Linked DNA regions of Arabidopsis thaliana. The protein of the gene in region 2 interacts with the protein of the main gene of each other region in a pairwise test. Each region holds a gene or a part of one and is shown on either strand. Other genes may lie near its edges.

What was found. Proteins that work in one complex are often made in the same cells at the same time.
Region 1: the proteins of AT1G64625 (region 2) and AT5G50010 interact in a two-hybrid assay, tested with the Arabidopsis thaliana proteins (one large-scale study listed by BioGRID).

What each region holds. Positions count from the first base shown.
Region 1 is NC_003076.8:20,346,676-20,351,636, reverse strand, and holds AT5G50010 (transcription factor bHLH145), read right to left. Parts: upstream 3,023-4,961; 5' UTR 2,954-3,022; intron 2,805-2,953; 5' UTR 2,407-2,804; intron 2,296-2,406; 5' UTR 2,199-2,295; intron 2,101-2,198; 5' UTR 2,082-2,100; coding exon 1,146-2,081; 3' UTR 807-1,145; downstream 1-806. Other genes in the region: AT5G50020 (DHHC-type zinc finger family protein), read right to left, coding at 8-104, 396-427.
Region 2 is NC_003070.9:24,014,798-24,019,825, forward strand, and holds AT1G64625 (Serine/threonine-protein kinase WNK (With No Lysine)-like protein), read left to right. Parts: upstream 1-1,858; 5' UTR 1,859-2,080; coding exon 2,081-2,175; intron 2,176-2,361; coding exon 2,362-2,451; intron 2,452-2,544; coding exon 2,545-2,608; intron 2,609-2,748; coding exon 2,749-2,790; intron 2,791-2,849; coding exon 2,850-2,939; intron 2,940-3,015; coding exon 3,016-3,792; intron 3,793-3,885; coding exon 3,886-3,987; coding exon of another isoform or gene 3,988-4,032; exon of another isoform or gene 4,033-4,060; coding exon 4,061-4,384; 3' UTR 4,385-4,474; downstream 4,475-5,028. UniProt on the Arabidopsis thaliana protein: Transcription factor that may regulate root development.

The sequences.
Region 1 (4,961 bases), on a different chromosome or scaffold from region 2:
AGCTTACATTACTTCCCTTCCAGGCTTCGAAGACCCGTCCAGCCATTAGAATCAGCGAACGGATCAGACACTCCTCGCTACACTCTCTGACGAATTGGAGGATCCTGAAAATTTTCTACGCCGATTCATTTCACATCAGAACTCCGCCCAAAACCTAAGTGTTGTCTCTCTAGCAACAAAATTCAGGTGGGTGAGAGTAATTTCCAAAACAAAATTGTAGTTTTTGTGTGGTGCGATCTCTTCTCTTCTCTTCTCTTCTCTTCTCTTCTCTTCTCTCTCTCACAAAAGGCGTTTCGTTTCTGGATTGTGTCTCCCGAGACGAACATTACAGTTTTGTTCCTTCATTTTTTTATTACGCATATAAAATTATTTTTGTAATGTTTTAAAAACCGGACCGGTCCGGTCCTGCAGACCAAGAATCGTTCATGTGGCTGAAATTGGGATGAACCGGTATCTGGTCCGGTTTCTAAAACATTTAGCTGCAAGATTTATTCTGAATGGCTAGAGACATGTATTCAAAACTTATAAACTGGATGGGACTACAGTATATCACATGTCACTAGTTCTATGCACAAAAGTCAGGAAATGACAAGTGATAAGAGTCTTAATCATGAAACAATAGGCAAAAATTGCTACCATATTGACAAAAGACTGCCAAATATCCCACCAAATCACATGTCTGTTTGGCACGAAAACAAACATCTTTAATCATTTGTAAAAAAGTTAAATTAATTGTGTGTTTACCATTATAATTGGCCTATCATTGAAAATGGTTATTCAACTTTCCCATTTATGATTCTCTCGGCCACACGACTCACAGATGAACAATAACAACCACACCGACAAAATCTTATAGAAAAAGAAGAAGCAACTACATGATATAACAAACAGCTAAACGACTGAAATTAAAATTTCGCAATCCATCTTAATCATCAACTAATATGAAATATTCAATTTGCATTTTAATATCAATTCCTTCTCTTGCAACTCCGAAACATTATTTGGTTTATCTTCCAACTAGCAACAACCTGATCCCTTTGTAGCTTGACAAGAGTACCACGGTCCAATATGTCTACTACTTTGTTTAGAAACCAAGTCCACTTGCCAATGCTAATATGTCTTAGGTATCCTACAAACAAAGAACCTCATGCTTCTCGATTTTTCGCTTCCATCTTCAATGATTTAAGGTAATCAATGGCTCTATCGATGACTAAGATCGGGTCCACCAGTTCCTCCCCGGGGACTACACTGCGCAAGAGGCTTACAGTCTCAAATATCTTCTCTTCTCCTATCTTGTTACTAGACAGCTTAGAACGTTTCAGAAAACTAATCCTTGTGTTGTCACAACTACCACAGCTCGATTCAGCGTCCCGCATACTCTCATTCGAGGTTTCGAGTATCTTTCTCTTTTTAGCATTTAATGGTTGTCCATAGCTTCCAAGAAATGTTTTTTGGTCCTCACGGCCTGATACTACAATGCTTGGGGAATGGTCTGCGCTTGTAACCTCATCTTCTTCAGAGCAATAACCACTCTCATCTTCAGAGTAAAGCAATGCATTTAGTTCTTCCGAATCCTCCTTCAAATCCGGTTCGCTATTTCCTTGCATTCCGTGACAAACAAACAAATCTTTGTTGCTTCTTTGGAGCTCTTCCTTCATATCAGGACAGGCATGCTGTTTTAGGGTCTCAAAAGATTTCCGTATATCGGAAGCGAGTAGCAAAGTCGTCTGATCTCCAGACTGATCAAACACTAGGAACCTCTTCTGACTACATTGTTCCTCAGCTTTAGATATAACACCGTCTACTTGAAGAGGTACTTGCTTCATACATTGGTTTTGAGGAGGCAAGAACTGCTGCTGTAGGTGGGATGACCCATGAACCCATCCACAATACCCATCAAAATAGGATTGAGAGACTTGGGTAGAAACTTGATAAGATCCACGAGTAGAAAACATGTCGGTGGTGTCGCCGCAGGTTTTAGATACTAAATTCAAGTCTTGCTTCCCGAGATGAGACAGAGCTAGGGAAGACAAGGAACACAAGCGCTGAGTAGGAAACCCAAACCCACGATCTTGTCCCATCCAACACTAAACAAATCAACTATCCAAAACAGAGGACATCATCATCTCAAACAAATCAGCTACTTATAATCAAGAATGGGAGGTCAAAAGATTATGTGTGCAAAGACTGGAACTTACCAACTAAATGGATAGAAGAAACTAGGCTTGAAACAAGAACGATAAGTATCGAGCTACTCTACGTGACGGGCTTCAACAATTGACGGAAATATTCAGCCTGCAAAATACACAACATCAAAGCTAAAACGAAATCAATAAAAAAAAGTTCTGGTGGTTTAAAAATCTAAATATATTGCAATAACATAAACTCATCAAACAAGAAAATAACCTGGCAATCTTGGAGAGGTTGAAAGCATGCAATGACTCTAACTACAATGTTTCCTGTGATACCGTGTTCGTGTTTGAGTGTACGAAATCTTGTCTGTCCCGCTGATTGACAAACCATAACTACTTTCTCCCCAACTGATTCCTTCTCCCAAAACAGAGTATCCAAACGAAGTCTTAAATAATTTGGCGGACAAAGTAAGGGAATGTGAAGAAAAAAGACGACCCCATTACATAAAAAAGCTATGTCTGAAGTAAGATCGCAGTTTACAGAATCACACGACAGAAGACTACTACTGTACGAAAAACATAAGCAGAAAGACACAACCACCACCGCATGCTGTTGCTTTGTTGCTCTTTCTTGTTTTATCTCTGGAGTCAATCTCACTACTTCAAATGAATCTGCAAAATAAACGAGAGCAATAGATTTAGTGCTAGCAAGAAACAGAACACTTTAAAACAAATAACTTAACCTAGAAAAATATGCACAATGCATATTATTACAGAGTTTATAAGTTCTATCTCGAAAACTGAAGATAATAGAAACTCACAAAAGTGGAATGCAAGAGAAGCAAATAGAAGTTCTAAGGAGGAAGCAGAGAGATATTAGTTTCAGTGATGGCGAAGAGAAGTTAGCGAGGAAGAAGATATATACAAGAGAAAAAGACGAAAGTGACCTTCATCATAACAGAGATGCGTGCGTGCGTTAAAGTTTAGGTATCGTGATGCCACAGTGTTTACCAAATCCGATAACAAATGTTTTTGGGAAAATTAGCTGAATTTGGTGGGTTCAAAATCTAAATAGTTGTTTATTTTTCTCGATGTAATTACTAATTAGTAAGATATACTCATAATCCATATTGTTGTTAACATGCTTTTTCGGCTTATTTATATTTGGCTAAAAGATATACATTTGCCCATTTGGTGGAAAAATAAATTATGCCAAATAGCTTGTTTTGGTTGGAAAGAAGAATCAGTCGACTTTCACTTTTCATCACATGTAAACAAATTCAGCTAACGGAATCTAGTATCTTTCAATTCCACCGAAACACAAATATCATTCACATAATATAAAAATGATCATCAATGAAGCTATACAAAAAAAAAAATCCATTTGAAGCCAAAGTATACTTACTTCATGCAATCATGTTTTATAAGACGCTCGCTTATGTATTTTGTTGGTTTCGTACTTTCGTTCATCGTCAGTAAGAAAAGTAGTGAAAGTATCCAATGTGAAGAAGAAGAAGGTCCAATCATTTCTCAAATACTCTCGTTTGCAATGGCTTGACCGTTCAAACCCCAAATCATTTCTACTTTTACTTTTTACCTTTTTGCACCCTCCATTTCCATCTTCTTTGGGTTTCACATTATGTTTTGTCTTCCCATTCTGGTTGGTCTATTTTCATATGGATCTCCAAAACACTTTCGTGGAAAATGTATCTATTGCACTTATAGTGAAAAAACGATGAAATATGTGACGATAAATATAACAAGAAGAAAGGAAAATCCTACAAGACAATTGATTGCTCTTCATCTTTTCTTTATTATAATCTCTTCCAAAATATGTATATTTTTCTATATATACTAAAGTGTTAAGAAAAAAAAACAAGCTTCATTATCATTATAAGACTTCCGTTTTCACTATAGAAGTAGGAACGGTACAAGTCATACTCACTGACTTATAAAAATACAAACAAATAATGATAACATAAGAACATTATTATTGAGATCATAATTTATGACCAATCCACAATAATTTATATTATGAAAATATAAATTCAATATTAGATACTGTAAGATAAGTTTCGAAGGACAAAAAAGGAGATAATTTCTATACAGAAACCCAAATGAACAACCTGCATCACCAAAAATTACCAAGTTAGCCAAAAAAAGTTTTTTTAGCTAGTTAGCCAATGACTTAATCGTATATTATCAATCATAAAACTTGATACCAAAATTATCTAAACCTAATTAATCCCCCAGAAGAAACAGACACGTTCTCTCTTGTCAGAAAATGGCACTGACTAGTAATAATTATACCCAAGATATTTTTCATTGACAATCAAAGACATCTGAAACTATATTCAATAGTGATAGATGTAGAAGACCCATGATTTAGTAACCTGAACCAAATCTTTGATGTACAGATAAGAGAGATCTGGTTGCTCACAATCATACAAGCAGAGTAACATTTAATATTACCACGCCAAATATTTAAGTTATACAAAAACCATTAGGATAATATTACTAATCCGTATAGTATATAAATTAGGATTAATTAAAAGTGGATACACTTAATCCTTACTGGCTTTAATGGTGTCAGGGGCCCAAAACAAACCCTCCACCGTTTCTCTCTTTCTGTGTGTCTCTAAAGCAATCATCATATCCTAGGTCCACCATTTTTATACACATAAAATAACACTCTTCTCATTTTGCGTGGTTAAAAAAAATACACATATATGAGATGTTTTTTTTTGATAAAGACACATATATGAGATGTTGATTTGCTATCTTTTATGTTCTTCAATTCAACAAATGTTCTCGAAAAATATGACATAA
Region 2 (5,028 bases):
GAAAAGTTTTAAAATAGCTTATCTAACAAAAAGCAAGTGTACAACATAAAATCCAACTTTTGGATTTATTTCACCACTTTCGGACACAATTGTAATAAGAACGGAAAGTTTCGAAAAGGGACAATAAATCAACTAAAGACGAAAAAGGATTAAGGTGAAAATCTTGATGCCGTTGACTTTTGTTCTCAACGGCCATGATTGAGCGTGTGATGAGTATAAGAGACCAAATTATGGCTATTTCTAATAACCCCAAAAAATAAATTGATTGATGAGTTTTTCTTCATTTGATATGTAATTATAATCACTTATTCCATTTCAAGATTTGTGGATATCTATTGATATTCTCTACCACTATCAAGAAGCTAAAAGTGTATTAAGTGCATGTACATTAGCTTAGGCCGAGAAGTTTTTTTTTTTTTTTTTTAAAGGTGATGTATTTGTGGCACTTAGGCTTAGGCATGTAATGTGTGGTGTGAGATGTTGCGCGACTTGCGAGTAACAAAAATGGGTCTCAAATATTGAGGCATGTATTTCTAACGTTTGCTATATATGCCTTTGATGTTCTCTAAATTCTATTTTATATCGTATTTCCATAGTAATATTCAGTAAAATCATGAAATTCGAAGGTTGATATCAGAGTTTATATAGTATAAAGTTTTAAGATATAAATAATCCATTGAAAACTCAAAACATAGGTACAAAATAGCACCATGTACAAATAAATAGCTAAAATAAAGTAATAAAGTAACAAATTAAAACACGTTTAATACTATTCATGAACTAATGTTCAAGTCTATTTAACATTCACATTTTTCCTTGCTTGTGATCTTCTATATAAACTTAAAATTAAACATGCATGGTTTCCTGATAATAATAAGATGTTTAGTTATATTAAAGAAAAAAGATAGTAGCTCTCAAGACTTAAGGCGGAAGCATAACCTTATTTTTTTTAGGTTGGTACCACAAGAGACCACAACTAAACATTTGGATGAATATAGGTATAACAAATCTCTTATGATATGTATATATCTGGCTTATATATGAATGCATACTCTACGAATGTATGTGACTGCTGACGACATTGGTGTTAGACTGTTGATATAATTATATGAGGCAGTGGATCGAGATTTGAGAACTACTTAAGTCAAGATTATCATACCGAGAATTCAAGATTTAGGTGACACATATTTTGGGAACCTCATTGGCCCATACACTAAAGAGGCGGTCATTCTTTCTTTATAACTCTAAACCATATTTTCCAACCAAAAACGGTCGATGTTAAGCTTTAATATGATGTTCAAGATATAGGATACGAGGGAGAAGATGATCGCTAGAAACTCCACAGCACCATTTATCTTCCTCTGTTGTGGGGATCACATTCTCCTCATTTTTATTTTTCCATTGCACCAGTTTCCACTATAGAAATTTTCATCAAATGTTAGTTAATTAATCATATCTAAATATATTGAATACTATTAAAGTATATCATAAATTCGTATCGAGTATTTAATGAATCGATGATAAAAAGTAAAATCAAAATAAAATCTCCCTTTATGGAAATTATACCCTCGAAGATCCTCTCCCGTCCTAAATTTTTCAAAAGACAACAAATAAATATATAGTAATCAAAGCAAACTTTTTCACTAAACCGGCAATAGCCGGTGTAATTCACGTCACTTCCGGGACAAAAGCGTGACTGGACACCGGCAGACAAATCACATCAAATAAATAATAGTAATATATTTAATTCCTCAGACAAAAAGGCTCTTCCACTTCTTATCGAATTACAAACATTTCATGTTATTGTTTGGTTATATATATAGAGAGACAAAGCTCTTAACTCCTTTTTAATTGCTTGAACAAAAAGCAAAACTCAAAGGAATTTTCTCTGTATTTTTTTCTATCTGCAGAAAATTAAAGAAAAAAAGAGAAAACTCAAAAACCCACATTTTTCCTCTGTTTCCAGCTTTTCTTTATCTTTGGAGTTTGGTTTCTGGAGAAGACAAAAGTTGTTGTCCTTTTTAAGAGTTCGAGATCCTGCAGAAATTAAAAGGGCTCTTCCCGGCTTGGATTCCTAAATATGGGTTCAGAGTATAAGCATATATTGAAGAGTCTCTGTTTAAGCCATGGATGGTCTTATGCTGTGTTTTGGCGTTATGATCCCATCAATTCCATGTAATTTCTCTCTTTTTTCTTTCGAATGTTATATGCATGTTCCTGTCTTGGATAATATTTGCATAAAACTAGTTTTGTTTTCCGTTGATTTAGGCAAAAGACTGAATTGCATATCCTCTGGTTTTATATGTGGCTTCCCTACTTTGGTGTCCATAAATGTAATTTAGTTTTGTTGAATTCCATCAGGATATTGAGATTTGAAGAAGCATACAATGATGAACAATCAGTCGCACTAGTTGATGATATGGTTCTCCAGGCTCCTATCTTAGGCCAAGGGTATGCTTTTACACTTCACTCAAATCTTTTATATATCTGTCTCTGTGTTTGTGTTTATATATCTTCAATATACTTTTCTTTTGATGAAATTAGAATTGTGGGAGAAGTAGCTTCATCCGGAAACCATCAATGGCTGTTCTCAGACACATTGTTTCAGGTTTGTTCACTTCTTTTTCTTGGTGTTTGATTTTTCTCATCTGTGAGCTATAATGTATGTCGAAATATAGTGACTGCATAGAACATTTCATGATGAAGAAGAAAAAAGATTTGATATTCGTGCGTTTGATTGTTTTGCAGTGGGAACATGAGTTTCAGAATCAGTTTCTCTGTGGCTTTAAGGTAATTTATATTTTGTCTTCTCTCCAAGTTTAAGGATTCATATATCCATTTTGAATCAGATTCTTATACGGCAGTTTACTTATACACAGACTATCGCAATCATTCCACTAGGATCCAGCGGCGTTGTTCAGCTAGGATCTACTCAAAAGGTTTGCATATATAATTATATAACAATGTTTTCTTGTTGTGGAAGTCATGGTCTAATTACTTACTATCAATCTTTAGATTCTTGAGAGCACAGAGATATTGGAACAAACAACAAGAGCTCTCCAGGAGACGTGTTTAAAGCCACATGATTCCGGTGATCTCGATACTCTGTTTGAGTCACTGGGAGATTGTGAGATTTTCCCAGCTGAATCTTTTCAAGGATTTAGCTTTGATGACATCTTCGCTGAGGACAATCCTCCTTCTTTGCTCAGCCCTGAGATGATCTCCTCTGAAGCAGCTTCTTCCAACCAAGATCTGACCAATGGAGATGATTATGGGTTCGACATTCTCCAGTCTTACTCTCTGGACGATCTATACCAGCTGCTCGCTGATCCACCAGAACAGAACTGCTCTTCCATGGTGATCCAAGGAGTTGACAAGGATCTTTTCGACATTTTGGGGATGAATTCTCAAACGCCTACAATGGCTTTGCCACCTAAAGGACTCTTCTCAGAGCTCATAAGCAGCAGTCTTAGCAACAACACTTGTAGTAGTTCTCTCACGAACGTGCAAGAGTACTCTGGTGTGAACCAGAGCAAAAGACGGAAGCTTGATACATCATCGGCGCATAGCTCAAGCTTGTTCCCTCAGGAGGAGACAGTAACAAGTCGGAGTTTGTGGATTGATGATGATGAGAGATCAAGTATTGGAGGGAACTGGAAGAAGCCTCACGAAGAAGGTGTGAAGAAGAAAAGAGCAAAGGCAGGAGAAAGCAGGAGGCCGAGGCCTAAGGACCGTCAGATGATACAAGACCGTATCAAGGAGTTGCGAGGGATGATTCCAAATGGAGCTAAGGTAAATTGAATAATAATATAGTTTAGTTTAGGGCATCCAAATTATAGATTAACAAATGCATTCTCTAATAAGTTTCGATATATATTTAAACAGTGTAGCATAGATACGTTGCTGGATCTGACCATAAAACACATGGTGTTCATGCAAAGCCTCGCCAAGTATGCAGAGAGACTCAAACAACCATACGAGTCTAAGGTAATGAATCAAATATATCCATTCAGTAAGTACACAAGTGTTTGAGTATTGATGAGTGAATGATGTTTATCAGCTGGTGAAGGAGAAAGAGAGAACATGGGCGTTGGAAGTGGGGGAAGAAGGAGTGGTATGTCCGATAATGGTGGAGGAATTGAACAGGGAAGGAGAAATGCAGATAGAGATGGTGTGTGAGGAAAGAGAGGAGTTCTTGGAGATAGGACAAGTGGTGAGAGGATTGGGATTGAAGATATTGAAAGGAGTGATGGAAACAAGAAAAGGACAAATATGGGCACACTTCATCGTACAGGCAAAGCCACAAGTCACAAGGATTCAAGTCTTGTACTCACTTGTTCAGCTCTTTCAACACCACACCAAACATGATGATTTATTATCATAGTATAATACCTACCACTTTGATTTTCTTTCTTTTTGTTACAACAACAACACAAGAATCTGTTGATAAATAGTAGTAACATTACATCAAAGAAGATTGTATGGGCTCGTGGAAAAAAAAGAAGAAGATTGTATGGGCTTTAAAACATTGACTAAGACAAAGAAAGAAGGCCCATTTAAAGAAAAAAGGAACGTAACGACACCGTTTTGGGTGGATAACAGTTAACTGACTGAATCAGAAAATAGATGCCCGTTATCCTTGACGAGGATAAAGGGGAGACACTGTATATAAATAAAAAGTTGAACAAAGATCAAATCCTCAATCTGTTTTTAGGGTTTCGAGAGAGAGAGAGAAATTGATTTTTGTTGATATTTGTGAAATTTGGTGGCGAAATTGAAGCTTCTTCATCGGTCGTTGTCTAAAAGCAATGGTGGATGGTTGATGAATGGAGGAGATGCTCTTCTTCTTCTATCCAATAACAATAATAAGAGACACGACGCTGACACAAACGCAGAACCATCTCACCACCGTCATCATCTCGGAGATGGCCGCCACACTCCTCTGTTCCCGATCTCGATTCCGATCGGCGATCGACTCCTATTGCTTCGCCCGTGAGGCCTTCTCCGATCCAATCTCCTTCCATCTCC